Linked DNA regions of Xenopus tropicalis. The protein of the gene in region 1 binds, or shares a complex with, the protein of each later gene. Links are inferred from orthologs where the notes say so. Each region holds a gene or a part of one and is shown in the gene's direction. Other genes may lie near its edges.

What was found.
Region 2: taf13 (region 1) and taf4 share a complex: the UniProt entries of both Homo sapiens proteins name them as parts of the TFIID basal transcription factor complex. The link is inferred for Xenopus tropicalis from reciprocal best matches to the Homo sapiens genes TAF13 and TAF4.
Region 3: taf13 (region 1) and taf8 share a complex: the UniProt entries of both Homo sapiens proteins name them as parts of the TFIID basal transcription factor complex. The link is inferred for Xenopus tropicalis from reciprocal best matches to the Homo sapiens genes TAF13 and TAF8.
Region 4: taf13 (region 1) and tbp share a complex: the UniProt entries of both Homo sapiens proteins name them as parts of the TFIID basal transcription factor complex. The link is inferred for Xenopus tropicalis from reciprocal best matches to the Homo sapiens genes TAF13 and TBP.
Region 5: taf13 (region 1) and taf10 share a complex: the UniProt entries of both Homo sapiens proteins name them as parts of the TFIID basal transcription factor complex. The link is inferred for Xenopus tropicalis from reciprocal best matches to the Homo sapiens genes TAF13 and TAF10.
Region 6: taf13 (region 1) and taf7 share a complex: the UniProt entries of both Homo sapiens proteins name them as parts of the TFIID basal transcription factor complex. The link is inferred for Xenopus tropicalis from reciprocal best matches to the Homo sapiens genes TAF13 and TAF7.
Region 7: taf13 (region 1) and taf3 share a complex: the UniProt entries of both Homo sapiens proteins name them as parts of the TFIID basal transcription factor complex. The link is inferred for Xenopus tropicalis from reciprocal best matches to the Homo sapiens genes TAF13 and TAF3.

The regions. Positions count from the first base shown.
Region 1 is NC_030678.2:3,373,685-3,378,279, forward strand, and holds the start of taf13 (transcription initiation factor TFIID subunit 13), read left to right. Parts: upstream 1-1,514; 5' UTR 1,515-1,519; coding exon 1,520-1,546; intron 1,547-2,035; coding exon 2,036-2,114; intron 2,115-4,595. UniProt on the Homo sapiens protein: The TFIID basal transcription factor complex plays a major role in the initiation of RNA polymerase II (Pol II)-dependent transcription.
Region 2 is NC_030686.2:4,389,615-4,394,348, reverse strand, and holds the start of taf4 (transcription initiation factor TFIID subunit 4), read left to right. Parts: upstream 1-1,740; 5' UTR 1,741-1,754; coding exon 1,755-2,025; intron 2,026-3,824; coding exon 3,825-4,727; intron 4,728-4,734. UniProt on the Homo sapiens protein: The TFIID basal transcription factor complex plays a major role in the initiation of RNA polymerase II (Pol II)-dependent transcription.
Region 3 is NC_030678.2:70,726,249-70,729,329, reverse strand, and holds the end of taf8 (transcription initiation factor TFIID subunit 8), read left to right. Parts: intron 1-672; coding exon 673-815; intron 816-1,774; coding exon 1,775-1,906; 3' UTR 1,907-2,246; downstream 2,247-3,081. UniProt on the Homo sapiens protein: The TFIID basal transcription factor complex plays a major role in the initiation of RNA polymerase II (Pol II)-dependent transcription.
Region 4 is NC_030681.2:50,706,290-50,710,480, forward strand, and holds the start of tbp (TATA-box-binding protein), read left to right. Parts: upstream 1-1,391; 5' UTR 1,392-1,482; coding exon 1,483-1,533; intron 1,534-2,158; coding exon 2,159-2,478; intron 2,479-3,635; coding exon 3,636-3,723; intron 3,724-4,191. UniProt on the Homo sapiens protein: The TFIID basal transcription factor complex plays a major role in the initiation of RNA polymerase II (Pol II)-dependent transcription.
Region 5 is NC_030678.2:177,469,983-177,474,728, reverse strand, and holds the start of taf10 (transcription initiation factor TFIID subunit 10), read left to right. Parts: upstream 1-1,554; 5' UTR 1,555-1,565; coding exon 1,566-1,734; intron 1,735-2,785; coding exon 2,786-2,937; intron 2,938-3,171; coding exon 3,172-3,236; intron 3,237-4,166; coding exon of another isoform or gene 4,167-4,199; coding exon 4,200-4,314; intron 4,315-4,690; coding exon 4,691-4,746. UniProt on the Homo sapiens protein: The TFIID basal transcription factor complex plays a major role in the initiation of RNA polymerase II (Pol II)-dependent transcription.
Region 6 is NC_030684.2:37,696,273-37,700,226, forward strand, and holds part of taf7 (transcription initiation factor TFIID subunit 7-like), read left to right. Parts: intron 1-61; coding exon 62-135; intron 136-588; coding exon 589-667; intron 668-1,950; coding exon 1,951-2,084; intron 2,085-2,343; coding exon 2,344-2,470; intron 2,471-2,571; coding exon 2,572-2,630; intron 2,631-2,795; coding exon 2,796-2,868; intron 2,869-3,006; coding exon 3,007-3,111; intron 3,112-3,895; coding exon 3,896-3,954. UniProt on the Homo sapiens protein: The TFIID basal transcription factor complex plays a major role in the initiation of RNA polymerase II (Pol II)-dependent transcription.
Region 7 is NC_030679.2:83,684,339-83,688,349, reverse strand, and holds part of taf3 (transcription initiation factor TFIID subunit 3), read left to right. Parts: intron 1-1,202; coding exon 1,203-1,309; intron 1,310-4,011. UniProt on the Homo sapiens protein: The TFIID basal transcription factor complex plays a major role in the initiation of RNA polymerase II (Pol II)-dependent transcription.

The DNA.
Region 1 (4,595 bases):
CTAGGGCTCCCCCTGTATGCTGCCAATAATGCCAGTGTTACAGGCACAGGGCCCTAGGGCTGCCCCCTGTATGCTGCCAATAATGCCAGTGTTACAGGCAGGCACAGGGCCCTAGGGCTGCCCCCTGTATGCTGCCAATAATGCCAGTGTTACAGGCACAGGGCCCTAGGGCTGCCCCCTGTATGCTGCCAATAATGCCAGTGTTACAGAGGCACAGGGCCCTAGGGCTGCCCCCTGTATGCTGCCAATAATTGCCAGTGTTACAGACAGGCACAGGGCCCTGGGGCTGCCCCCTGTATGCTGCCAATAATGCCAGTGTTTACAGGCACAGGGCCCTAGGGCTGCCCCCTGTATGCTGCCAATAATGCCAGTGTTACAGGCACAGGGCCCTGGGCTGCCCCCTGTATGCTGCCAATAATGCCAGTGTTACAGGCACAGGGCCCTAGGGCTGCCCCCTGTATGCTGCCAATTAATGCCAGTGGTTACAGGCACAGGGCCCTGGGCTGCCCCCTGTATGCTGCCAATAATGCCAGTGTACAGGCACAGGGCCCTAGGGCTGCCCCCTGTATGCTGCCAATAATGCCAGTGTTACAGAGGCACAGGGGCCCTAGGGCTGCCCCCTGTATGCTGCCAATAATGCCAGTGTTACAGGCACAGGGCCCTAGGGCTGCCCCCTGTATGCTGCCAATAATGCCAGTGTTACAGGCACAGGGCCCTAGGGCTGCCCCCTGTATGCTGCCAATAATGCCAGTGTTACAGGCACAGGGCCCTAGGGCTGCCCCCTGTATGCTGCCAATAATGCCAGTGTTACAGGCACAGGGCCCTAGGGCTGCCCCCTGTATGCTGCCAATAATGCCAGTGTTACAGACACAGGGCCCTAGGGCTGCCCCCTGTATGCTGCCAATAATGCCAGTGTTACAGGCACAGGGCCCTAGAATAATGCCAGTGTTACAGGGGGTATAAAGTCCCAGTACAGGGAAGCTGGGAACTATTTCTCTCCCAGTGCGTGAAACTACACAGTAAACATGCCCAACTGTTATTAAACAAAACTACAACTCCCAGCATCCTTAGAGGCGCACTCGGAGCTGTTTCTGAACCCGTTGGTGTCACTCCCGCCCCGCAAATGACGCATTACCGATACCGCCGCTCCCCGACTCTATCTTCCCTTTCTCCGGCTGGTGTAGAATTCAAATCCTGGCGCGTCTAACGGACCAATCAGCGCGGATGCTGATGACGGAAGTCACTTAGCGACTAGAGTGGCTGCAAGGAGCGCCGTTTGCGGGTGGGAGTTACCACACACAGCCCAGGGCGGGCACTACAGGGGTTATATGTGCCCTCAGCGGGGTTTCTATTGTTCCATCGTTACGAAAATCTAAAACTGAGGCGTTTGGGGGCGTGGCACATTCTGCGGCGCCATTTTGTTACACCCGGAAGTTCCTTAACTTGGCTTTATTACACGCCGGAAGTGGTAGAGTGGAGGTGAAATTGTACTGGCGGGGCAGTGCGGGGAGGAGCAGACATGGCCGACGAGGATGAGGATCAAACGGTAGGAGCGCAGAAGGGATATAGAGCGGGAATACACGGGTGGCTTGGTCCTGTTTCATGGGCAGGCCCACTGGGCGCCATTAGCGGGTCAGGATTCGGAGTTGTATTCGTAGTATCACCCCTGTGCCAATGGTTTGTTCCAGGTACTCAGGCTGCTGCTGTTAGAGAGACCGGGTAGCTGTTACAGTCTGGGGAGTAGGATCAGTTCTCCCTAATATCCGGGTTTGTGTGTCTGTAGCTAGGAATTTCCGGGCTTTATGAAAGTGACCAACTGCAACTAGTTACTGCCATCATTGCTATATGTACATAATGGGGGGCAGTTGCCCTGTGTCCCCCAGCTGTTATTGCTGTGCTGCCATTGCCATTATTTCTGTACTGAGGGCCACAATGAATTTCTCTATAGATGTTGGTGGCAAAGCTGCCAGGGAATAGACAGCGGGTTCAGCTTTGCACTGGGTTCCACTCATCCATTGTTCTTTTACTCCTGCAGTTTGAGGATGAGACGGAAGAAGCCTCTGGATCGGCAGAAGGAGGTCAGGGGAGGCGGAAGAGACTCTTTTCCAAGGAGTGTAAGTTCTTGTTTGGATCACAAAGAAGCGTATTTAAGCAGGGAGCCGCAAGCTTTCATACCCACGAGCCACGTTCAAATGGAAAACGTTTTGGGGAACAACACAAGCGTGAAAAAAGTTCCTGGTGGTGCCAATGAGAGCTATGATTGGCCATATGGTAGCCCCTATATCAGTGGTTCTCAACCTCCCTAATGCCGTGACCCTTTAATACAGTTCCTCATGTTGCGGTGACCCCCAACCATAGAATTATTCCTAAGACCATGGGAAATATGTGTTTTCTGATGGTATTAGGTGACCCCTGTGAAAGCGTTGTTCCACCCCAAAGGGGTCCCGACCCACATGTTGAGAACGGCTGCCCTATGTTGACTGGAAACCTACAGAAGGCTCTGCTTGGCATTTACACTGGGTTTTTATGCAGCCAAAACCTGCCTCCTAAGCAGAAATTCAAAAATAAGCAGCTGCTTCGAGGCCACTGGGAGCAACATGTTGCCCCCAAGCTACTGGTTGGGGACCACTGAATTAAAGGAATACGGTCATGGGAAAACTGTACTGAATTTCAGTGAATGGGTAAAGTGTAATGTCCCACAGAGCAAATTAGTCGCCCGCAATAGATCTCTGCTACCGTGGGCGACTAACCACTCTGAAATGGCTTTCCAACGACAACAAAGGGAATTGCTGGTTGAAAGGCCTACGCACAGAGTTTCCTCCTGCAGGTAACTTCATGCACCTAGGGAGATCGAATCCATTGCCTTTGTTGCTAGTGGAAGAGCATTTTGGGGTGGTTAGTTGCAAGTTAGTGATGTGCGGACTGGCCCGGTACCTGCGTGTTGGGTGGGTTTGGGCCGAACTCGGCACATCACCTGCAGGTTGCGGGTGGGTTTGGGCTGAGCTCTTCCGCTCGCCCTCCCCGCCGGGGACCTGTACACTGCTCTCTTCCAGCTTCTCTATTTATATGCGCGCACCCAGAAGCCCCAACCCTTTTGTGGCGTCATTGCAGGGCGGGTGCGGCTCTATAAATAGAGGAAGGAAGCCGGTTCGGGGTGGGAGCAGGTGGTTAGGGTCTGGTGTGGGTTGAGAAAATCTCAACCCGCACATCACTATTGCCTGTGGTAGCTGAGATCTATTGCGGGTGACTAAATCGGCTAATGTCCCATGGAGTGAACAGGCAAAACTGGCTCTACACCGTCCCAGTAGTTTAGGGTGGTTCTAGGCATTCCTCTGCCAGCTAAAAAAAAATAATATATATACACACAATGTGCACTTGTAAATAATGGTACAATTAACTTCTATAAACACCAGAAATAATTTTTTGCATAATAAATGAAAACATAATTCTAAACAACTTTCCAATGTGAATGTATTTAAATTTCAGTGCTTTGAAAGTTGTGTAAATGTAATTGCTATTAAAAGCAGCATTTGCTGAACTCCTGGTTGTTACTATTTAAACAGTGTTGCAAAGGTCAGTCTCCTCCAGCGAGTCAGGTCTGTCAGGCTGTTGCCTTGTGTTAGTGTTTCAGGGGTCGGTCTCCCCCAGCGAGTCAGGTCTGTCAGGCTGCAGCCTTGTGTTACACTGTTTCAGGGGTCGGTCTCCCCCCAGCGAGTCAGGTCTGTCAGGCTGCTGCCTTGTGTTACAGTGTTTCAGGGGTCAGTCTCCCCCAGCGAGTCAGGTCTGTCAGGCTGCTGCCTTGTGTTACACTGTTTCAGGGGTCGGTCTCCCCCCAGCGAGTCAGGTCTGTCAGGCTGCTGCCTTGTGTTACAGTGTTTCAGGGGTCAGTCTCCCCCAGCGAGTCAGGTCTGTCAGGCTGCTGCCTTGTGTTACACTGTTTCAGGGGTCAGTCTCCCCCAGCGAGTCAGGTCTGTCAGGCTGCTGCCTTGTGTTACACTGTTTCAGGGGTCAGTCTCCCCCAGCGATTCAGGTCTGTCAGGCTGCTGCCTTGTGTTACAGTGTTTCAGGGGTCAGTCTCCCCCAGCGAGTCAGGTCTGTCAGGCTGCTGCCTTGTGTTACACTGTTTCAGGGGTCAGTCTCCCCCAGCGAGTCAGGTCTGTCAGGCTGCTGCCTTGTGTTACAGTGTTTCAGGGGTCAGTCTCCCCCAGCGAGTCAGGTCTGTCAGGCTGCTGCCTTGTGTTACACTGTTCCAGGGGTCAGTCTCCCCCAGCGAGTCAGGTCTGTCAGGCTGCTGCCTTGTGTTACATTGTTTCAGGGGTTGGGTGAGTCAGGTCTGTCAGGCTGCTGCCTTGTGTTTGCAATTATATATGCAAATGACGCAAAAACCATTACAAGTTTATAAGGAATGTATATTGCAAAGTTGCTTAGAATTAGGTTTTCTTTTATTAGGCAACAAATGCTATTTTGGGTTGACTTTTCCTTTAACTCCAGATCCTAAATACATTATGCAGTGGGGGGCAGAAGTAGTGGCATCCAGAATACATTAAATACAGCGAGAAGTAATGGGAACTTTAGTCCCACATACATGAAATACA
Region 2 (4,734 bases), on another chromosome or scaffold:
GCCACTTAGTGAACAGAATATCATTTATTTATAAAGGATCCTGCAGGGCTGAACAGGCTGATTATCCACAGCCATCTTCAGAGTTTTATCCAGATACTTTTCTCTAGAAAATGCCCAACTGTATGGATAAAGCCCCAATGAGGTAAAAACCTACACCGCAACTCATAATGCTGTTTAGTGGAAAATGCCCTACGGCTTCATATTGACAGAAGCCAATTATGCTTATGCTTTGTACCGCACAGTGTGCACTCGTGGTGCTGTATAAATAATATATCCAGATGGGAATTAAAGGGACAGTGCACCGGCACCACCTAGCCAATGGCTGAGCAGGAGCAGTCTTCCATTATATAATAGGTTAACGTTTTGTGTTTTAGCGCTGCCTCACAACAGGAGGCCAGTGGCACATTCTTACTCTTTGGTACATAAAATAACATGGGACCCCAATACTGCTTGGGGTTTCCCTTTGATTGCAAGCTCTTCTGTAAAGTGCTGGGTACCATACAGGCACTCTATAAAGTATTGAGGAGAAATCCGATAGAGGGAGGATACAGAATCAGAGCCTACTCCCTAACAGAACCCATTCCAGAACCTTAAGGGACAGAATTCTTCTCATTGGACAAAACCTGCAGGGCCCCTGATCACCCCCCCCCCCCCCTCCAGTGATCCTTTGGGGATCCAGTTTCCAGTCATGACTTGTAGATCCACTAACCTATCATTTATTGGGGATTAACCCTCTAAACACTGTGCAGGGAAAATCATCACCCCATGTAGATTGTATCTATCCCTTATACAGCCCCATACCCTCTCTAGTTGCCCAGTTTGTTACCCCACAATGGGGCAGTCACATTAACCCCCGGCCATGTCCATTTCCCAAGGCCCATTGAGTACTTAGTCCCCATTACACCACTTCTTATAAATAAATAAATAATCTAGTAGAATTTCTATTTGGCTTTAACTCCCCCATCACCATAATAACCCCAATACCCCTGCCCAGATACTATACTGGGGTACTTATTGGCTCTTATACCTCCAAACACTGCCCTAGGGTAATCATTCACCCCCTATAACCCCCATTACACCCCCAACAACTCTACTGGGATAGCTATTCAGTTCCCAAGGGATATATATACTTATTTACCCATATGCCCCTCTTATCCACCCACATACCCCTTTATTTACACCCCCCTACACTCCTTCCCAGATACACAAGCTTCTCCCTGCCCATAGTCACGGGAACCACATTAGTTGTAAAACTACAACTCCCAGCATGCCCCTCCGCCTAAGCGGCACGGTCGGTAGACAGCGGATCCCACAAGCGGCAGTAGTGCGTTTGTCCGAGCCCTGTATGAGGTGTCCCACCCACCCGGTGACAGGAACGCCCCCTCCCTCCCGGTAACCCGCAGCGGGCGGCAGACAGGAGTGGCGGCGGGACACCCGCAGCAGCCATTTTGAATTGAGCAGACAAAGAGCGCGCGTTTCTGTGGCGGGGCGACTTTCTCCGCTTCAGGCGTCGCCACGCCACCCGGTTTCCCGCGCAGACCCTTCCCCGACCGCCCCCTATTTTTGTGCCTCCCTCCCGTTCCACCGACCCCGCTCGATCCCCTCCTGCCCTCCCAATACCGCTCGCAGCCATTTGCCCGCTCCTTATGTAGCCATGAAGCAGCCAATGGGAGCGCCGCTCCGGTGTGACGTAATTGCCCCGCCGCGCAGGCGCACAGAGCTGCTGCCCTCCTGAGTTGAGCGGCGGAGTAAAGATGGCGGCGGGTTCGGATCTACTGGATGAGGTTTTCTTCAACACGGACGTGGACGATAAAGTGGTCAGCGAGCTGGTGGGATCCCTGGAGTCTCAGCTGGCCGCCGCGGCCCACCAGCACCATCATCACCACCACCACCAGCAGCAACCCCCCGCCGAGGCCCGCAGCCAGGCCCTGGCTAACCATGTCACCAGCCCGGGGGTAGGGGCAGCCAGTGCGGGGGGACAGCCTGAAGCCAAGATAGGGCTCTCCCCGGAGGTGCCTAAGACGGGTGAGGCCTGGGGGCGCCGAGCTGAGCGGGCAGGGGGGCCGCGGGAATGTTTTGGCGGCCGGCGGGCTGACTGGGGGCCTTCAGGGGCTCTGCTGGGTGTGATGGGCCCCGGGAAACGCTCTGGGGGCCCCACATGGACTTCTGGAGTTGCTGCTCTTGGAAAACTGGATACTTGTACTACTTGGCGCCTGTGGAGTGACTTGGAGGGGGGCCAAGGGCTTTGGGGGGGCACATTGGCCCATAGGAAATAGAATTGGGGGTACACATGGACTCCTGGAGCTGCTGATGGCTGGCGACTGGATATTTGGGGTATCCGGCAGTTTCCTGGGGTAACCGGGCAGCCTGGGGGCATTTGGGGGGTATACTGGGCCCTGGGCAGCCTTCTGGCCAGTCTCACATGGACTCATAGAGCTGCTGATGGCTGGCGACTGGATATTTGGGGTACCCAGCAGTTTCCTGGGGTAACCGGGCAGCCTGGGGGCATTTGGGGGTATACTGGGCCCTGGGCAGCCTTCTGGCCAGTCTCACATGGACTCCTGGAGCTGCTGATGGCTGGCGACTGGATATTTGGGGTATCCGGCAGTTTCCTGGGGTAACCGGGCAGCCTGGGGGCATTTGGGGGTATACTGGGCCCTGGGCAGCCTTCTGGCCAGTCTCACATGGACTCATAGAGCTGCTGATGGCTGGCGACTGGATATTTGGGGTACCCAGCAGTTTCCTGGGGTAACCGGGCAGCCTGGGGGCATTTGGGGGGTATACTGGGCCCTGGGCAGCCTTCTGGCCAGTCTCACATGGACTCATAGAGCTGCTGATGGCTGGCGACTGGATATTTGGGGTACCCAGCAGTTTCCTGGGGTAACCGGGCAGCCTGGGGGCATTTGGGGGTATACTGGGCCCTGGGCAGCCTTCTGGCCAGTCTCACATGGACTCATAGAGCTGCTGATGGCTGGCGACTGGATATTTGGGGTACCCGGCAGTTTCCTGGGGTAACCGGGCAGCCTGGGGGCATTTGGGGGTATACTGGGCCCTGGGCAGCCTTCTGGCCAGTCTCACATGGACTCGTAGAGCTGTTGGTGGCTGGCGACTGGATATTTGGGGTACCCGGCAGTTTCCTGGGGTAACCGGGCAGCCTGGGGGCATTTGGGGGGTATACTGGGCCCTGGGCAGCCTTCTGGCCAGTCTCACATGGACTAATGGAGCTGTTGGTGGCAACAGACTAGAGATTTGTGGCATTTTAGGGTTTTGGGGGTGACTGTGGGGAGATGAGTGCTGTGTGGATCATTAGGGGGCAGTTTGTGCCCCAGGAGAAGATTTGGGGGTCCACATGAACTTTTGGCGCTACTGATGGCCTTGTTGTAGATACTTAGATACCTGGGATTTTCTGGGGGCTATAATGAGCCTTAATAAATGGACTTGGGGGGCAAGAGGCACTATATGGTCATTTGGGGGGGTGTGGGTGAAATTGCCTTATGTGGGGTATGTTCCCCGTGTACTTGGGGAGCTGGCACTGAGGGCACCGTCTATATGCCGCTCACTTACAAGGGGGGGGGGGGGGGTAAATCTTCCTGGGGGCATCATTGGGTTCTCTTGGAATGGTTTGGATTTCTGGGTGGCATGTTGGGTTGTGGGGTTGCCTAATGCCGCTTCTGAGGGGTCCAGTGGGCGTTTGCTGGTGGAACCAAGTGCTGGACCAGAGTGGGTGCACAGGGGTGGCTATCTGTATATTCCGGCGGGTGTATACCCCATAGCTCTGTTTCTTTCCCTGCTGTTTAAAAAAAAATGTCCTTTTTCTCCCACAGGAGCCGCTGTACCCGGAGTACAAGGAGGTGTCATTAACAGCCGCCCACAGACCACAGCACAGCCTGACGGGACTCAGTCTGCTATACCCGAAGCACCAGGAGCTCTTAGCCAGGCCAAATCTGGGGTTCTGGGCAACATGGCTTCCACTCTGCCCAACCACAGTTCAGGTAATGGCAAAAATGCCACCCTACAGACCATGAATGGGAGTAATGTTGTGATTAATTCACACGGACCTGGGGGTCACGGAACCCCCTACCAGGGGAACAGCAATGCCGCTGTCGGCCTGGTAAACAACGGACCGGCTCCTGTCGCTAAGGGTGGAGTGAACCCAGGAGCTAACACCGTTATCCAGACTTCTTTCCTTGGGACTACTAACGTGGCATCCTCAGTCATCTCCTCCTCATCCACATCCACTGCGGGAGCAGCTGGGCAGCAAGCTGGCATGGCGGGCGTACCCACCAGCGTGGCATTGGTGAGACCTCTGTTGCACCAGGGCGTGCCCGCCACTCAGAACGGGAGCAATACTGTGATCAATTCCCCTCTGTCCGCCCCTGCCGGGGTCTCGCTGCAAATGAACAATCAGCCCAGTCCGGTGATCAAGTCGGAATCCCCTAAAACTATTATCCAGCCCCCTCAGCAGAGCCAGCCTAACCCTGGCAATATGGTGTTAGGACAGACTATGCAAGCTGGGCACCCTGGTCCTGGAGGAGCTGTGTCTGCCCCCGGTGCCCCTACAGGAATGGGCAAAGCTACAGTCAGCGCCGTGCCTCCCAACTTGCCAAGGACTCCTACGGCCCTGGCCGGTGGTATCAGGGCTACAATCACTCCCCCTATGCTTGCCCCGCGCGTGCCACAGCCTCAGCAGAACCCGGCGAGCGTTCAGAATTTCCAGCTTCCGCCCGGTAAGTG
Region 3 (3,081 bases), about 67 Mb from region 1:
TGTATTTAATTTCTCAGGAAATGGGGTGTTTTCTGAACAAATATTTTTAGTGAAGCAGTATTTAGTTGTATGAAATTAAATCAAATGTGAAAAACTGGCTGTGCAAAAATGTGGGTACCCCTGTAATTCTGATAATTTGAATGCATGTAACTGCTCAATACTGATTACTGGCAACACCAAATTGGTTGAATCAGCTTGTTAAGCCTTGAACTTCATATGCAGGTTATGATGCATATTTTCTGTTAATCCAATACTACCGTTTCCAGAAGACATGTTAAATATTAAAAGGATGTTGATACTTTGAAAGCTCAGCTAATGATAAACAAAACTCCAAATAATTAAGAGGGGTTCCCAAACCTTTTCATATGACTGTATATCTGTTATTTTTAAAAAGCCAGCATATATTGTAATGCTATATTATATTGTCTTTAAAGATACACTTAAGCTTGTTACTAATATTTTTCCTATTAGATATTATGGAAGACCTATTTTCCATATGATGTTTAATTGGCTTCCCAGTCAGATATATTATTTTACCTTACTTTGTCAGGAACATTCTTTTGTTCCTTACTGATATGTTTTTCTTTTCTCCCTCTGTGATTTATTGTACCTCATCCAGAATATTGTTTTTGTTAAATTTAAAACTGAGGCTTTTTTTTTTTCGTTTGCCAGTGATTGCAGCACGTCCACTCTCAATACCTTATCTGAATGCCCTCCTCCCATCAGAACTAGAATTGCAGCAAGTAGAGGAGACTGATTCCTCAGAGCAAGATGATCAGACTGACGCAGAGAACCTGTCTATGCATCTGCAAGGGGTATATGGAGAGAAACTTGAGTTTGTTATGTCCTATATTTATCATTCCGCATGCAACTTACTGCTTTGCCTTTATATTTTACTGTTATGTTTCCTATGTTTGTTTATCTAACTTAATTTACTCATAGTTCCATAGGGTTGAAAAAAGACCAGAGTCCATCAATTTCAACCCTTCCAAGTAAACCCAGCACACACAAATCTATACTGACCACATACCATATACTGACCATATACACTCACATACATAAACCAACATCAATACTAACTATAGATTTTAGTATCACAATAGCCTTGGATACAATGTTTGGATACTGTTGTAGTCCTTATTTAAAGGAGACATATTGTGTAAAAACATAGAAGGAATCTGCATTAAAAAAGATATGCTTTGGCTGATTTATTAAAAATGTAATGCAGATCCCTACTAGTCCCACTCATCTCTTTCACTTCCTGCTGACTCCTTTCCCAGGCTGTACAGAGGAACTGTTGGCACTTAGCACACTGCACTGTATAATAAGAATTAGAAGCTAGGTAGACCTGATAGGGAACTAAAGCCTGTCTTTGCTACTGTGACTAGAGGGCTGTGATTTGCTACCCCACCCCCATCCTGCTTATGGCAGGAACCATTAGAACATGCCCACCCCTTAATTGAGCAGATATATATATATATATAGAGAGAGCTCCGATAAATTATCTTTTAAAAGATAATGAGCATTTTTTTCCCCTGAGTGAAAAATATATTATTCATTATTGTCACCAAGCTTAGGGGGGGTTACACTTATGCTATATGTCTCCTTTAACTACTTTATTCATTCTTTCCTCAACCTGTTTTCTGCTCAGCCATCCACTACATGCTTTAGAATGCTTCACCCTTTTGTTGACCTTAATTCATCCCAGTGCCCTTTCCCTGGTATATTTTGATATTTTATTGCTTAACTTCCTATTTTATTTTTAACTCCCAAGGACGAGGTGGGCATGGAGAAAGAAAATTCATCTGTTTTACAGCAGAATTCAATGAAGGGTGGAGAGGAAACACTTATAGATAATCCCTATCTACGACCTGTGAAAAAACCTAAGCTGAGGCGTAAGAAATAGAGTAGCCAACCCTGAGATTCTGAATGAAAAACTACAGAATATTTAACTGGACATTAGTGACTCCATTTACCAGAGCTTGAAAAGGATGTTGATATTGAAATTTTATTAAAGTTGGCTGCTCTGTATTGTTGATTACAGGAAAAGTTAAGAGTCCATATGGGCAACTTTAATTTGAGTCTTGACATGCAATGTTTGAACCTTATAAGGATCCTTGAATAGGGATATATATCTTTCATTTCATACCCTGATATAATATATATCTTTTCATTTAATACCCTGATTTGAGGACACAGATACTGTCCCTCATGAGGTGTTTCATAATAAAAGATTTTTGAAAATATGAAGGGTATTTTTTTGTTTGTTTTGCTTAGTTTTGTGCACAATACACGTAATGTTTACACACTTATTGCTATTTTAGAATATAAGCCAAATGTATAGATGAAAAGCAGTAAATGTGCTTTTGTTTCTGCAGTATTAATTAAGTATGCAATTTGGTAGTAAAATAAGATTGGCTGGTAAGTATATTATGCATACACCTAATACAAGAGATTGATCTTAAAACAGTTTTGAAAATGTCTTTGATTTGCTGAGCGCAGACAAATTAGTATGTCTGTACCAAAAGCAATTCAATTACTAAAATAAACAATAGATTGAGTGTTAGGTAAGTGGAAAGGAAAGAGAGTAGGTGGGTCAGCATGATACATAGCCTTTTTTTGTTTATGGATGCAATCATGTATGTATGTATGTATATCTTTATTTATAAATCGCTACTTATGTACGCATCGCTGTACAGTAGAATACAGTAATACCAACGGGATTATTAGGATAATAATAGATAAATACAAAGTATAACAATAAATACAAGATACAGTTGCAATAAGTTAAGAGTCAACGACACAAGAGGATGGAGGCCTCTGCCCCGTAGAGCTTACAATCTATATGGAAGGGTAACTTACAGACACAAATAGGCAAATATAAGTGCTGTAGGTCACAGCGGGTGACACTAAAATAGAAGTGCTAGTTCCCAGATCAGGTGCTGTAGGTAGAGTTACATAAAGAAGAATATTATTGCTGTAATATACAGTGATAAGATAATGATGTCCCCAAAGTCCAAAGAGTCCAACCAGCATTGCTAAACCTGGTCAAATTTATCAGGTGAACCCCTTTGAGTATAT
Region 4 (4,191 bases), on another chromosome or scaffold:
AGTCTAGGGTGGGTATGAGTGGTACAGAAATATGAGAGTTCTGTAGTGCACATGCCCTTGCCCAAGCCTGGCAGGTTATGCCTGAAAGGGGGTGGGGTTGCTGAAGCAGGTAAACTAAGTGGCTGGAATCCCTGAGGATGCCTAATAATATTTACTACTACCAGTCATTTTACTTTTCCTTCTCCTTTAAAGCTGGGCAAATTTTAGATTTGCTTCTTTGGCCTTGAGCTGACCAATTTGATTTGGAGCCATTTTATCTAGTCTAATAGTTTCTACTATTTTCTAGCTCATTCTGTAGTGCTACAGCCTAAACTCAGCAATAAACCTACGGCTCCCTGTACTGTTGAGGCATGATCTTACTGAGTACAATGGAAATTAGGCACTAAGTTATGTACATAAACCAACCTTGTGTTGTGAAACTAATTTGTGCGTTTAATTGGTTCCTCAGAGAAAAAGGTTTAGGGGCACATATAGCAAAATTTGTATTATTGTACTACAAAATCTCAGAATTTAGATATAACAAGGCTTGATTATTACATCTGAATGAATACGTTTATGGTTTTTATAGCTTCTTAGGGCTCTGGCACACGGGGAGATTAGTCACCCGCGACAAATCTCCTTGTTCGCGGGAGACTAATCTCCCCAAAATGCCATCCCACCGGCGATTCAGTGAAATCGCGGAAGTTGCCTTGAGAGGAAACTTCCGCTATTTCACTGAAATCGTGCCGCCACGTATGCCATCCCACCAGCGAATGACATTTTCGCCGGTTGGATGGCATTTCGGGGAGATTAATCGCCCGCGAACAGGGAGATTTGTCGTGGCGACTAATCTCCCCGTGTGCCAGAGCCCTTAAGAGATTTGGAGAAACTAAAACCACACGCAGGTCATTTTACAAATTTTGCTTGAAGGAATCCCATTGTGACATCTGCAAGTGTATAATTTGACTACACCATTTTAGTATACCTTTTTTTGTCATTTCAAGCAATTTGCTGCTGCTAATATTATAAATATCCCCTACATCTTATCTTTTTTTTTTTTTTACTTTATTTGTTCTTTTAAACAGTCATCTAGTTGTTGGGTCACTGATTTATACAGTAGGATTAATAGCAGATTAGCTTCATGGTGTTGTCTTTACTGCTTGCTATGGTCACATAAGGTTGTCATACACTTGCAGGTTCTAGCTGCCAATTTAGTTCCTTCAGACCAATTTGGCAGCTTATCTGCCTGTGTATGGGCACCCCCAACACGGATCGGGGACCACATTGGCTCGTTGTTATGGCCCTCTGTCCTACTGTTAACTTATCACATTTACCAATACAGGTGCTAACTGCTGAATGTAAGCTATGTTTTAATGTTTTTTTTTTTTTTTTTTTTTTAACTTCTTTTTATAGGATTTTTGTCTGCTGCTGGAATGGTTTATTTTAATTTGTAGGAACAGCACACTTTGTTTTATTCTTAGTGGGATTTCCAATTAACGCAACATGGATCAAAACAACAGTATACCCCCTTTCCAGGGGTTGGCATCACCACAGGTAAGTGTGAACCCTTTTTTCCCTTTTACCACAATTCCCCCTCCATAAAATAAAATGCCTTTAAAAGCATTGTAATATTCACTTCATTTGCACTTTCTAAATTGGGGGGTATACGGTATACCGGGTGTGGTTAATTTGGACAACAGATACAATACTGAAGAATGAAAAAATAGAAGAAAAACTTGAGACACAGGCCAATATGCTTCCAACTGACTTAGGGGGGAAATGCAAGTCAGCAGCCAATATTGGCTTCAATGCAAATGTTTCTCTTGCTGGGGCGCTTGTCGTAATAGGTGGAGGAACGCCATCCTGAGGGCTCTTGAACACAAAACAGATGTGTTCCGTTCTCATTCATGCATGTGAATGAATATAGAGCTGCATTTCATCCTATGCTTCCTTGTGGTGGAAAGGAGAAGAAATCCAATTCGGGAGACTGCAGGGTGAAAACACCTGTGTGTAAGAGCCCTTAGCTTGTCCTACTCCATGTGCAGGGCTATACCATAAGATTTTCATTAAAGAAATCCCCATGTACTAAGCCCATTTTAACTTGTGATTCAACTTGTGTGTGGGTTTGAGAGCAAATTTGTTATAATTTTTTTTTTTTTTTTGTCTTTTATTTCTGTAGGGTTCTCTGACTCCAGGGATTAACATTTTCAGTCCGTTGATGCCCTATGGAACTGGTCTGACCCCTCAACCTGTACAAACAACTAACAGTTTATCAATATTGGAAGAACAGCAAAGACAACAACAACAGGCCCAGCAGTCTACATCACAACAAGGCAATCAGGGGTCAGGCCAAACCCCACAACTGTTTCACCCACAGACTCTTACCACAGCACCTCTTCCAGGAAATACACCCTTATACCCCTCCCCAATGACTCCCATGACCCCTATTACTCCTGCTACCCCTGCATCAGAAAGTTCAGGAATTGTTCCTCAGCTACAGTAAGTCTCATCATCCTGGGGGACATTTTGCAGATATCATTTGTCAGATTATCTGTATCTGCACACTTGTCAACAAATCCTTATGTTTGTCTGTACATTTCTGTAGTGCCATAGAGCATACAACTCTGCAAATGGTAAATATTAGATATACAGGAAATGGAAACATATTCTGGCATATTTTAATTTTAGACAGTAATGACTTTATTTGTTATACCACATTTGAGTGTGGCCTGTCAAAATTAAAAGACCTTATCTTTGTTTTACCTTTGGTACTAATGAGTATTTTAACAGTGCTGCATTACCTTTGTTTACCCTGTGAGTGTTACATTTGTTTAAAAAAAAAAAAAGCTACATTTCTTAAAAATATAGGAGTCCATATTAGATTTAAAAGCTACCAGGCCAGGGGTGTGTGTATATATTAGGTCTAGAAACAGATGCAGACGGTTTCCTCATTTCAGACTTTTACACCACATTCTTGAGACTGAATTGATGTCATATTTAAAGTGAAACTTTATTGAGGGAGAAAGACTTGTCTTGATATGTAATTTAGCATGTACAGTAGTATCCTAGTTTTAATGTGTCCTATATCTGTCCAACATGTGTGAAAAATAGAACAAGTAAAGAATTGGGAAATTAAAATAGTTTAGCACTTTTACAAGTACTAATAGTGCAAATTTTTTTTTTGTAATACTTTTTAAAAATTTCCCATGGGGCTAGCCATGTTCATTTCCCAGGGTGCCACAGTCATGTGACTTTTGCTCTGATAAAGGTCAGTCACACTTTACTACTGTGCTGCAGATAGGAGTGATATCATCATCCCCCTGCAGGCGATCAGCAGAACAATGTAAGTTAGCAAGCTAGCAGCTCCCAGTAGATATCAGAACAGTACTCAATAGTAAAAAAAAAAAAAAAATTCAAGTCCAGTAGCTCTGGCTCCTTCTGAAAGCTCAGACTCGGGCACAATGCACTGATCTGGCTGCCTACAACTAAAAAATTACTTTTGTTGGTTTAAGAATAAAATTTTAAATGGTAAATTATTTGCTATGTAAACAGTAATTTAGAAATATAAGTACACAATAAAAATTAATGACTGAATACCTTTAAATACAGTGAGCAAAAATATTTGGATTTGTAATAACTGCTTTTACATTGTTCAGGAACATAGTGTCCACTGTAAATCTTGGCTGCAAACTGGATCTGAAAACAATTGCACTTAGAGCGCGAAATGCAGAGTATAACCCTAAGGTAAGACAAAAGCCTTTGTTGTATCTTATTCACCTAATAGTTGCTTTCACTGTGACAGACGGGGAGATTAGTTGCCACGTGACAAATCTCCCTTGTCGCGAGCAACTAATCTCCTCGAAATACTATCCCATTGGCTGGAATGTAAATTGCCAGTGGGATGGCATAAGCATCGCCGAAGTTTCCTCTCAAAGATGCCGCGTATGCCATCCCACCTGCGATTTACATTCTAGCCGGTGGGATGGCATTTCGGGGAGATTAGTCGCAACTAATCATCTCGTCTGTCACAGCCCTAAATATTCTTATCTATCTGTAAAAGTCATTCAGGAGAACACACTGGTGCATTGTATGGCACTTAATTCTGTAAATGTGTGATGAGAAAAGGATTTCCTGTTTGTAATTTTGTCCTGCCATACCCACTGGGCATAGTATTTTTATGCTGGCCTAGAAGTGGCATGAGGATGGGTTATC
Region 5 (4,746 bases), about 170 Mb from region 1:
TCTTAGTTACTGACGGCGAGTGTGTTAGTTACTGACGGCGAGTGTATTAGTTACTGACGGCGAGTGTATTAGTTACTGACGGCGAGTGTGTTAGTTACTGACGGCGAGTGTATAGTTACTGACGGCGAGTGTCGTTAGTTACTGACGGCGAGTGTGTTAGTTACTGACGGCGAGTGTTATAGTTACTGACGGCGAGTGTGTTAGTTACTGACGGCGAGTGTATTAGTTACTGACGGCGAGTGTATTAGTTACTGACGGCGAGTGTATTAGTTACTGACGGCGAGTGTGTTAGTTACTGACGGCGAGTGTATAGTTACTGACGGCGAGTGTGTTAGTTACTGACGGCGAGTGTGTTAGTTACTGACGGCGAGTGTATAGTTACTGACGGCGAGTGTATTAGTTACTGACGGCGAGTGTATTAGTTACTGACAGTGAGTGGGTTAGTTACTGACAGTGAGTGGGTTAGTTACTGACGGCGAGTGGGTTAGTTACTGACAGTGAGTGGGTTAGTTACTGACAGTGAGTGGGTTAGTTACTGACAGTGAGTGGGTTAGTTACTGACAGTGAGTGGGTTAGTTACTGACAGTGAGTGGGTTAGTTACTGACGGCGAGTGTATTAGTTACTGACAGTGAGTGGGTTAGTTACTGACAGTGAGTGGGTTAGTTACTGACGGCGAGTGGGTTAGTTACTGACAGTGAGTGGGTTAGTTACTGACAGTGAGTGGGTTAGTTACTGACAGTGAGTGGGTTAGTTACTGACAGTGAGTGGGTTAGTTACTGACAGTGAGTGGGTTAGTTACTGACAGTGAGTGGGTTAGTTACTGACAGTGAGTGGGTTAGTTACTGACAGTGAGTGTAAAGAGACCCCCATAATGGCTGCCTGAGTGGAGGCGGGGGGGGGGGGGGTGGATCAATAAAAAGAAAGTCCCAGCTCCCGGGAGGCGGACACTCACCCACTTGCTCAGTGAATCAATGTCGGAGCAATTTGGATCCGGTTTTCACTCTTGTGGTTTCCCAGTCCGTTTTCGGTCTGCGAACTCCGCCATATTGCTACACCCAAATACTGGCCTCAAGCAGCCCCTGCCCCAGGGTAAAGTCCAGCCCGCCGGCTCCTAACAGCCCCGGTTTGGTTGCCTGTGGCGCTTTTCACGCTCAGAAGAAGGAGTTGGTGTCGCGCCTCACTGTCAGTCTGACTCCCATGCACTTCGCTAAGCTCATTTCCGTGTGTAGCAACATGGCGGCACTCTAGCGTGCCTCAGCACGTAACCAAGCGACATCCAATCACAGTCTGGCTTTGTTCAAATCCTAACGCAGCTTTGCTATCACCGCTTTGATTGGCAACATTTTAAGCCAGTAAATGGCCGCGCCCTGGCAGGTAGCCAATGGGCTTTCTACGTAAGGTTATGTTTCTCCTGAGCTGTGTAGCTGCCGCATTGGCCGGTAGGGGGCGCTGGGACACGCCTTGCAGGAAGATGGCGTAAAGGCACTGCCCGTTGTTTTGGGGAGGAGATTAAGTGGAGGAGCTGTTTCCGGGTGTTGACGGAAGTTCCTGTCCAAGGGTGAAGATGAGCGGGACGGAGACAGCGCCAGACTCTCTATCTGCTATTGCCTCAGTCCAGCCCGGTCCGGCCCCAGAGAGTAAGCCCAGCCCGGCAAACATTCCCAAACCCGGGCCTGCCGCGGCCTCTGCAGCTGCTCTACCCGGGAGGGACACGGGGGAGCGAAGAGCCAGCGGTGAGCGGCAGCAACTGAACCGGAGAGGGAGGGGGGGGTACTCACAGGGGACTGGGACTCCAGGAAAGGCCTGGGGAGAGAAACCCAAGCATGGAGGGGAAAGGGAGAGCCGGGGGGGCAGCTGGAGCAGAGAGGGGCCCGGGGGGGGCAGCTGGAGCAGAGAGGGGCCGGGGGGGCAGCTGGAGCAGAGAGGGGCCCGGGGGGGCAGCTGGAGCAGAGAGGGGCCCGGGGGGGGCAGCTGGAGCAGAGAGGGGCCGGGGGGGGCAGCTGGAGCAGAGAGGGGCCGGGGGGGCAGCTGGAGCAGAGAGGGGCCCGGGGGGGGCAGCTGGAGCAGAGAGGGGCCGGGGGGGCAGCTGGAGCAGAGAGGGGCCCGGGGGGGCAGCTGGAGCAGAGAGGGGCCCCGGGGGGGGCAGCTGGAGCAGAGAGGGGCACCGGGGGGGGCAGCTGGAGATGAGAGGGGGCCCCGGGGGGCAGCTGGAGCAGAGAGGGGCCGGGGGGGCAGCTGGAGATGAGAGGGGCCCGGGGGGGGCAGCTGGAGCAAAGAGGGGCCCGGGGGGGGGCAGCTGGAGATGAGAGGGGGCCCCGGGGGGCAGCTGGAGATGAGAGGGGCCGGGGGGGCAGCTGGAGATGAGAGGGGCCCCGGGGGGCAGCTGGAGATGAGAGGGGGGCCCCGGGGGGCAGCTGGAGATGAGAGGGGGGCCCCGGGGGGCAGCTGGAGATGAGAGGGGGGCCCCGGGGGGCAGCTGGAGATGAAAGGGGTCCCGGGGGGCAGCTAGAGAGGAGGGGGCTGTCATAGCTGAGAATTGCCCTTTGCTAGGGCAGGGGGTAGGAGTGGTGCCGGGGGTGAGAAGGGGAACGTATGGAAGGAGCTGGGTGAATGGACCTGTTTCGGGGCAAATGGTGCCCACTGGGTTGTACAATGGGGAGTACAGTTTGGGGACAGATAGGGTGGGGGGGTATTTGGAGAATTGGGCGCAGGTAAGTGCCCGGCTGTGTGACTATTGCCCAGTCCTTTCCAATTCCAATGTATGTTCTGTTATTGATCCTCCAGTCCCTGCATCAGCGGCTGCTGCCCCCTCCGAGGGATCCCTCTCTAATGGCGTGTACCTGCCCCCGGGGGTGGCAAATGGCGATGTCAAACCTGTCATTTCCACTACCCCCCTGGTGGATTTCCTGATGCAGCTGGAGGACTATACCCCTACGGTAAGTGTCCCTTGGGTCTGTATGGGAAATGCTGTGCCCTAGGGTACTGGGGGGGGGCAGTGCCAGGCATTTGCCCCACCTTACACAGTGTCAGGGTGCAGCTTGTGCCTACAGAACATCATTTCTCTGTATGTATGTATATCTGTTGGTGGGAGCTGCCATATTGTTTCCCTGTATCATTGCTTGTATCTGTTCCAACATTTGCTTTACATTCCTTCTCCCGATTTCCTGCAGATCCCAGATGCCGTCACTGGATATTACCTGAACCGGGCCGGGTTTGAAGCATCCGACCCACGCATGTAAGTACAACTCCTGCTGCCATACGTTATTGGCCCGTGGGTACCGGAGCTTCTCAGAGCCCTGTAGCAGTTGCCTCGACTAGGAAGAACCTTCCCTTATTCTGGCCAGCCTGTAGCGCTAGGTTATGGGCCGCCGTGGCCAGTAGCCGTTTGCTCTGTGCCTACCAGGAGAGCTGACAGTCACGCTTATGGCCACAGCAACTGGAGGCCTAAATAGGGGTTAAAGTGCCCGTTCTGGTGCTGCCATTCCGTTATATGTATTATCCCTCTTTATTATTGTTTATCTTGCTTTCTAGGAACTGTAATGTAATTGGTGGAGACTCGTTTGGTGAGATTGCCAAATGAGCGGATCTTCTCCACCTACAGTGGGCAATACCGGGCTAGGGCCAAACCATCGCAATGGCAGATATCGGTTGGGTAGGCCCGTCGGGGGGTGCCCATACACGGGCAGATAAGCTGCTGAATTGGTCTGAAGGACCCGAATCGGCCCTTAAAGGAAAAGTAACACTAAACATTTTTAACTAAAAAATCTATTCTGCCCTCCCCCAATAATTGCCCTATCCTGAAATCCATTTGTTATTGTGAATGCATCAACTATGCGGTGATCGACTGATCGAGCCTAGCCTGACTCATTCCTATATACAGAAGTCAGGGGCTAGATCAGTCGATCACCGCATAGTTGATGCATTCACAATAACAAATGGATTTCAGGATAGGGCAATTATTGGGGGAGGGTAGAATAGATTTTTTTAGTTAAAAATGTTTAGTGTTACTTTTCCTTTAACCCTAGCAACCAATCAGAGTTGCTTTCATTAGTCTTACTGCAGTTATCCAATCAGGCCTGTATGGTGATTACTATGAGTTCAGCACAGCATCTGTATTGACTTCGCTTATTTTGAATTTCACACCGGATCCTCTCGATCTCTGTAGTGATCCGCTGACCCCACCGCTTGTCTCTCCTAGAATCCGGCTGATCTCCTTGGCATCTCAGAAGTTCATCTCTGACATTGCAAATGACGCCTTGCAGCACTGTAAGATGAAGGGGACGGCCTCCGGGAGCTCTCGCAGCAAAAGCAAGGTACCCCGCCAGCAAATGCCCTTCAGTGGGGCTATTGTGCCCAAGGTGCCCCTTTGTTCCGCCCAATGTTACAAGCAGCCAGTGAGAGAGCTCCTAGATCTCCTATACACATCTAGGTATGGGCTGCACCCAATAGAAATGAATGTGCCCTCACATTGCTGCTCCATAGTCAGGGCTGGGGGGTAAGTATGTAGGGAGCCGATTGGATAATGATTTTGGGGGTGGGGGTAGAGAGACCCCAGTAACCCCGAGATGATGCCCTCCTGCTCTAGTCCTGTGTCGGTGCCAAGGCACATACTTGGTACTGTCTGGGTCAGCGCCGGAGATTCTCCCTCTCTAGAGGCACAAGGCAGTCATGTGATTTCTCTTTGGGCAGGATAAGAAATACACTCTCACTATGGAAGACCTGACTCCGGCGCTGGCGGAATATGG
Region 6 (3,954 bases), on another chromosome or scaffold:
ATATGAGTCCTACTGCCTACAAGGCCAACTGACTTCTGAGTTTTACATATTCCTTCCATAGAACAAAAGACATCAAGGAGCAAAGATGATGCCCCACACGAACTAGAGAGCCAGTTTATCCTGCGACTCCCACAGGTGAGTATGACACCTATCCGAGCAAGGAATCCTATGTAGAGCTGCTTCCATTGCTCCTCCTAAATGATTGCATGGTACTTTTAATGATGATTGTGATTAAAATTACTTTTCTTAAACTCTTAATTTGACAATAGGCTTCATTAGTGCCACATTAAATGCATTGGAAAGTTTAGGGATGGCACACAGTAAATCTGTGCTCTCTTGAGTGGTGTATGTGTGCACTTGACAAAGGTCTGTAGGATGAAAAAATCTCTCGTGTTGAGTCAGCAATAAACCTGGGAACCCCCTTATCAGAAGCCACCAAGTCATCAGACAGACTGTCGCCACTTTCCCAAGTGGTGGAACACAAAAAGAATTAGGGGAATTTTTAAATACTAACTAACAGCTGTCACTGGATCAGGTTCTTTCCTCATCTTCTATTTTTTTTTTTTTTTTTTTTTTTTATTCATTTAGGAATATGCCTCAACAGTTAGGAGGATGGTCCAGTCTGGGAGTGTAAATACAAAAGACAGACTTTCTGTTGAGTTGCATCGTAAGTATTTTAGCAGCCTAGTTTCTGAGGCTGTGAAAGATTCAAGATTTTTCCCATATAAATTGAGGGTGGGGGGGGATTGTTTTAACTAAATAGGGCAAAATTTAAAAATGAACGTAACGTCTCATTCTAATTCCTGTCCCTAAAAGCAAGTTGAAAAGCAAATCAGCAGTCCGCTGAGTAGCTGCTTCTTTTCTCACAGCCTAACAGGCTGCAGCTGGTGCAAGGGGGAGGTTCTCAGTGGACTGCTGATTTGTTTTTACCTTGATTTTTTAATCCAAATGTCACACAACTCTGTCTCTAAGCTGTGTACTGTAGCTGCAAGAGAAAAGCAAGTAACTTGCTTATCACTAGCCAATAAAAGAGGCAAGCACAACCCCTATTGCACAAGCATTTAACTTATGGAGGACATTCTCTATTGCTTTAGTTATCTTTTGAGCTCTAGCCAGTCTAGAGAAAATAAAAAAAACATATATCCTGTCTAACTATAATCAGTCCAATTACTGGATTACAACATACCTATGTATATTATAGAAAATAATTAAAATAAAGAAGAAATACAGATTGTTAGTATCGGTCTGGAATGGAATCCCTGCAGCATATTTGCACTTGATAATTACAAATGTAAAGAGTGGCTCAGGAGGAGCCTTTACCCTGTTGCATGTTTTTAAACTTTGAAGTGATTGCTAATTTATGATGGTTTACTAAGACTGTAGATTGCAATCAATTAGCAATTCGATTTAAACACTTGCCTACAAGTTAGAAATCAGAAGCAAAGATCTGATTGGTTGCTACAGTCCTGGTAAACATGCCCCTTAAAGGAGAAGGAAAGGCAAAGTCACTTGGGGGTGCCAAAATGTTAGGCACCCCCAAGTGACTTTAACCGCTTACCTTGTACCCCGGGCTGGTGCCCCTGTTCGGAGAAAATAGCACCAGCCCGGGGTACCTGGAGCGCAGCACTTCCTCCTTCCGCCTTCAGCTTCCTAAACTGCCGGTGGCCGGGCATGCACAGTAGAGCGAAAAAGCCGACTTAAATGTTTAAGTTCGGCTTTTCACTCTACTGCGCATGCGCGCGCAGCGAAGCCGGAAGGAGGAAGTGCCGACAGCTACCCCGGACTGGTGCTGTTTTCTCCTGACAGCGGCACCAGCCTGGGGTAAAAGGTAGGCGGTTAAAGTCACTTGGGGGTGCCTAACATTTTGGCACCCCCAAGTGACTTTACCTTTCTTTTTCCTTTAATCCTCTATTTATCTTAACTTACTATGTAGTTATGATCTGTTCCCAGCTGATGGACGTCATGGAATTGTACGTGTTGACCGTGTACCACTGGCTGCAAAACTCGTTGATATTCCCTGTGTAGTGGAGTGTTTAAAAACTATTGACAAAAAGACTTGCTACAAGACTGCCGACATCTGTCAGGTATTTGCTGCTTTGTTTTGCCTTTACCTTAAAGTGCCTAGTAAGTACCCTTTCTCCAGATGAGTAATGAAAACAGGTCACATGCTCATTACTGCATTTAGAATAGGGTAACTGCAGAGAAACAAAAAGAGGCAACATGTGTAGTCTTTGTGTAGCTCCAAGTAAGTAACCCTCCGTATTAATACATTCTGTGAATCAGGCCATTTCTTTTATTACTCCAGTAGTTGCATGAATGTCTGCTTTTTTTTTTTTCTCCTAGATGTTGGTATGTACCCTTGATGGAGACCTCTATCCACCTCTTGAAGAGCCAACTGGGACTAGTGACCCAAAAGCCAGCAAGAAGAAGGACAGGGACAGAGAAAAGAAATTTATTTGGAACCATGGAAGTGAGTCTGTTTGTCTTTCATAGTTTGGGGGAAATTGTTCCTACCACTCTTCCTCTGCACACAAGACACACACAATTTTTTCCCCCCTTATGTTATTTCAGTTACACCACCTCTAAAGAATGTGCGAAAGAGACGGTTCAGGAAAACTGCAAAGAAGAAGGTAATTCTGTAGTTATATCATGGTGCATTGAGGGAACCACTTTCTCTTTGGGTTGCATATCGTAATGTGTGATGTGCTGTTTCTTCTTCCTTCCCTACATATTCATCATCTTCCATTTTTCTTGATACTTCTTGATAACCCCTAAGCTTTGTTTTTTCTTTTTAGTATATTGAGTCCCCAGATGTGGAGAAGGAGGTGAAACGGCTTCTGAGCACAGATGCTGAGGCAGTTAGTGTGCGTATCCTTTTATAAACAGCTACCCAGGAGAAAACATATGGTGATCGCTTTGTGATGAGAGAAACATTTTTTGTTCTGGATTTAAACTTATATCTTTATATTTGAGAATCTTATCCTTTCCTTGACTTGCCACCATTAGGATGGGAAGTGATAGCTGAGGATGAATCAAAAGAAGCTGAGAATCTGACTGGGTTGGATGTTTCCCCAGGGATGTCTGGGATCAAACAGGGTCGTGGTTCTTCAGGTAGTTTGTCCTTACCAAAAATAACATTTTTTTTCAGCTTATAAATGTAAATCTCTTTTAGGTCTTGTGCAAACCAATGTACCCTATCATGGGAAGCTGAGGATACTTTGATTCTTAATATATGTGGTATCATGCTGCCCTTGCTATGATACATAGGCAGCTGACTGCCTATGGAAGTGAACATTTCATCGGAAAGGATATTCCAAGCTTCTTTAGTGTTTGCAGAGTTTTTTATCTTGTGTCTTTTCTTCATGCATCCATCTCCCCCCAAAGATCTCTGATTCCAAGAAAGGATTCACAGGGAATTGATCATGTTCTGTCATGAAACTATTACAAACGCCAGTATTGATTTTTTTCTAATAATAATTCAGTAAAGAGAAATGACAGAAATCACTTCTTCCTCCCCTCTTACCTTTAAATCCGTTTTCCTCCATTAATGCTTTGTTTCACTTATTCCATCTTCCTTGTCTCCTTGTAATAACTCCAATGCTCTTTACTTTTTGCAGTGTCTCACAGCCCTTCTGCCTTACTCCATCTTTAATTCACACTGATATTCAGTGCTGGAACAATCTGACCTGCTGCCTGCTGCTAGATTTTCTTCTAACTAAACCCAGCCCTTTTATGGTCCTCTTCACACTTTTTTATTTTGCTCCACATTCCTCTGCAAACATCCATTAAATATGAGCTTATATTCTTATGTTCTTAATTAGCTTTTTTAAATTATTCTTATTCCCTCCATCTTAAGCTCTAACTTGTCTTTCCCAACATGTCTCTCTCTTTCCAGCAGTGGAGAGGGAAGAATTGCGTCAGATCTTTAATGACATCAGTAGTAGCAGTGATGGA
Region 7 (4,011 bases), on another chromosome or scaffold:
TTTAAGCAACGATGTTAGTAGTTCATGAACTTTTGAGTTTCAAAATTGCTGCTTTTCCTGTTAAATTTCACTTATCCTTTAATTCAAATTGTTAGATGTCATAAAGTAAACGGAAAGTTACTGAGTAACAACTTTTTATATCCCTGATCTTATCAGCAAATTGAATAGAACCATTTGGCTAATAAGTAAAAATGCTAATAAGGAACAGTTTCCTATAGTGCCAGCACAAAGCATACTTATCTTGTTCTCTGCTTGTAATGCCGAACTATAAAGTAGGAATGCAACGATTTGTACATGTACAGAACAATCCTGAATTAATATATTTACTTTGCTAAAGAGCTGTGAGATCTAAACATAAGTTAAATTAAAGGATCGCTTCCAAGCCTCAAAATTCTTAGTTCAGTTAAGGGCTGTGGCATACGGGGAGATTAGTCACCGGGCGACTAATCTCCCTGACATGCCATCCCACTGGCTAAAATGTAAATCGCTGGTGGGGTGGCATACGCAGCACAGCAAATCACTTTGGTGATTTCGGCAAATCGCTGTGCCGCGTATGCTATCCCACAGGCACTTTACATTTTAGCCGGTGGGACGGCTTTTCGGGAGATTAGTCGCCCTGCGACTAATCTCCCCGTGTGCCACAGCCCTTAGACAACCAATTTTGCTGCTTCATGCTGATGGGTCTGATATATCCCTGCTTTAGGTGGAAGGACTTCAACATAAATATACTCATAGCACTTTCTTTGTCCAGAGAGGTATCCTTCACCTCTTCTGCCCTTTTAAGTTATGTTCTTCCATTTATCTTATCCCAATTACTTCTACTTTGTACTTTAACTGGCAGACTTTATGGTCTCTGCCATCTGCATTACCAATTTATAAATCAGGGCATTTTGGCCATAACACCACGTGCAATGTCATTTCCTGTTACAGAGCAGGAAATATGTGGTGTCCAGCCTTTACAGTTATACAATATAAAATATGCTTGTAGAGTGAATAATTAATTTTAAAATGCTAATGTAACACCTAGCATTGCTAGGAGTACACACATACATACATACATACATACATACATACATACATATACATGACCTGTGATTATGTACAGTCAATCTAAAGTAATTCCAGAAGGCATTAAACTAGATGGTATTTTCCTCCTCCATACTGTAAGGAGTGCGCCATTAACAACTCAGTATCTATTTTAGATCCGAGATGAGTGGGGCAACCAGATTTGGATCTGTCCCGGATGTAACAAAGCAGATGATGGCAGCCCAATGATTGGTTGTGATCTATGTGATGACTGGTACCACTGGTAAGATCTTTTATTCTACCACTTACTTTTTTTTTATTGTTTTCTTTAAAGGGGGCATATAGTATTAAAACAATGTGCCCATGCATACTCCTCTTTGTATAGAAGAAATGTGCTGAAAAGATGTGTTTCGGGTTGAACTATTAAGAATTTCTCCAAAAGCCCTTCTAGTCCCCCCCATCTGGTCTACTTGTTGCTAACTACTTTCCCAGGCTGTGCAGAGCAGGTAGCAGCACACTGCACTGTAGAATAGGAACCAATCAGAAGCTAGGTGGGACCTGACCTGAAACCTGCCTTTGTGTGAATGCAGGGCTGTGATTGGCTATCCATCTCCTACTGTGCTTCCATTTTGCCAATCAGCAGTTATTGAAAATTATAAATATGATAAAAAACCATAGCTTAGAAGAATATTTGCCTTTAGGAAATACATTCATCAAAGTGTCTGTAGCCAGAACATTGTGCAAAGTGGCAAAGAAAATTTCTAACCTCTAAATATACGGGCTGCATGGACAGGCATCCTGCAGGGGTAAAGTGCCACCTAACAACGTGGCACCCCCCTCAGGGATTGTACCTTTTTTTGTTGTGTTGAAAAAGGAACTATAATAAAAGGAAGTTAGAGTCCGGCTTCCAAACCAACATTTGTTAAATGGCCCCACACATCACAGAAACCCCTAAGTTAACTATCACTGCGATCTGTTCATTCAAAAAGTATGAATAAATACCATTTTTTAGGGATGCACCGAATCCAGAATTCAATTCATGCTTGGTTGAACCGAATGTGAATCCTTTAAATCCTGTGACTTTTTGTCACGTAACCAAGGAAGTTAAAAAATGATTACAGTCCTCTTTAGCCCCTCTGTGGCCCAATGTTCGGATTCGGATGTGTATGTTCGGATTCAGTTTGGTATTCAGCCGAATCTTTTATGAAGGGTTTGCCAGATCCCAAAATAGTGGATTTGGTGCGTGGATTTTGATATGCTAAAATCCAGCGACAAAACAGTTCTTTTTCTGCATCATTTGAAATTTTGGCAGGGGAGGAGGGACTAAAATTGCAACAACTTGCACGAACTACATAACCCACAGTGTATTATTACCCTGTGATGTTACTATGACATCACATGTTCAGGGAATTAGAAGAAAAGAAGGCACTCCATAATAATATTAGAAAAAAACAGGGAGCTGTGGGATTTGAAGGATGCAGGCTGAACGCGGGCTCAGAATAGTCGACTGCTGCTGCATTTTTATTTTTTTTTTGAGTTTCAAAGTAGTCAGCCAGATCAGCAGGAGAACAGGGGGCCAGTCTTAGGTAACTGTTCCAAACCATATTATTACATTAAAAATTATGAAAAGGCTGCATATTTCTGCAAGATGTTTCTATTTTTCTATGATTTACCCCTCCGCCAGTGTAAAATTTTAAATCAAACAATTAAGACGTGATTAAAGTGCGCATTCCAGACTTTAATGTTTGGGACAACTGGCTTCAGCTGTTTGTGATACTCAGGCGTGTTGCATTGCTGCATTAGTGCAGGGATAAGGTACCTAAGCAACATGAGGAGAAAAGCCACGTCAATAAAAGACAAGGAAGCTATGAAGATGGAAAAACAAGAATAAAACCATTGGAGACATCAGTCAAACCTTAGAATTGCCAAAATTAACTGTCTGGATTATCACGTAGAAAAAAGTATGCACTGGTGAGCTCTGTTCAGAAGGCAGGTGTGTCTTTGTCAGACTAATATCCGCAGAAGATTTCATGAACAGAAATACAGAGGCTACACTGCAAGATGTTAGCCACAAAAATACCCAGATTACAGTTTGCAAAAAAAGTACTTGAAAGAGCCTGCAGAATTCTGGACAGACGAGACCAAGATTAATATGTATCAGAGTAATGGCAAGAGGAAAGTGTGGAGACGAAAATGGACTAAGAAAAAGAACCAAAGCATACCATCTCATCTGTTAAACATGGTGTTGGGGATGTTATGGCTTGGGCATGTATGGCTGCCACAGGTACCGGCACATTTGTCTTCATTGATGATGTAACTGCTGATGGCAGTTGCACATTGAATTTGGAGGTGTATAGAAACATCTTATCTGCTCAAGTTCCATTAAATGCCTCCAAACTGACTGGAGATTGCTTCATCCGGCAACAAGATAATGATCCCAAACAAACTGCTAAGGCAACAGGGAAGCTTCTCAAAGCTTAAAAAATGAAAACATTTTTATGGCCAAGCCAGTCACCTGATTTAAATCCAATTGAGCATGCCTTCCATATGCTGAAGAGGAAACGTAAAGGGACAAGGAACAAGTAGGAGCTAAAGGTGGCTGCAGTAGAGGCTTGGCAGATCATCACCAGAGAAAATACTCAGCAGCTGGTGATGTGAATCGCCATTGCATGCAAGGGAAATACAACAACATACTAAACATGACTGGTTTAATATACCTGCAATTCATTTGTCTCAAACGTTATGGTCCCCTAAAATGAGGGGGGACTATAAAGTGTGTTGTCATTTCTGCATGGTGAAACTAAAATTTAAGAAAATTTTAAGTCTGGAATGTGAAGTTTAATCACGTATGAATTGTTTGACTTAAAATTTTACACAAAGAGGTAAATCAAAGGAAAATGTTTCTGTCCCATACATTATGGGGGGCACTGTATATTGCAAAGTTGCTTAAAACTATGTTTACTTTTCAAAAAGCTTTAGTTGTGT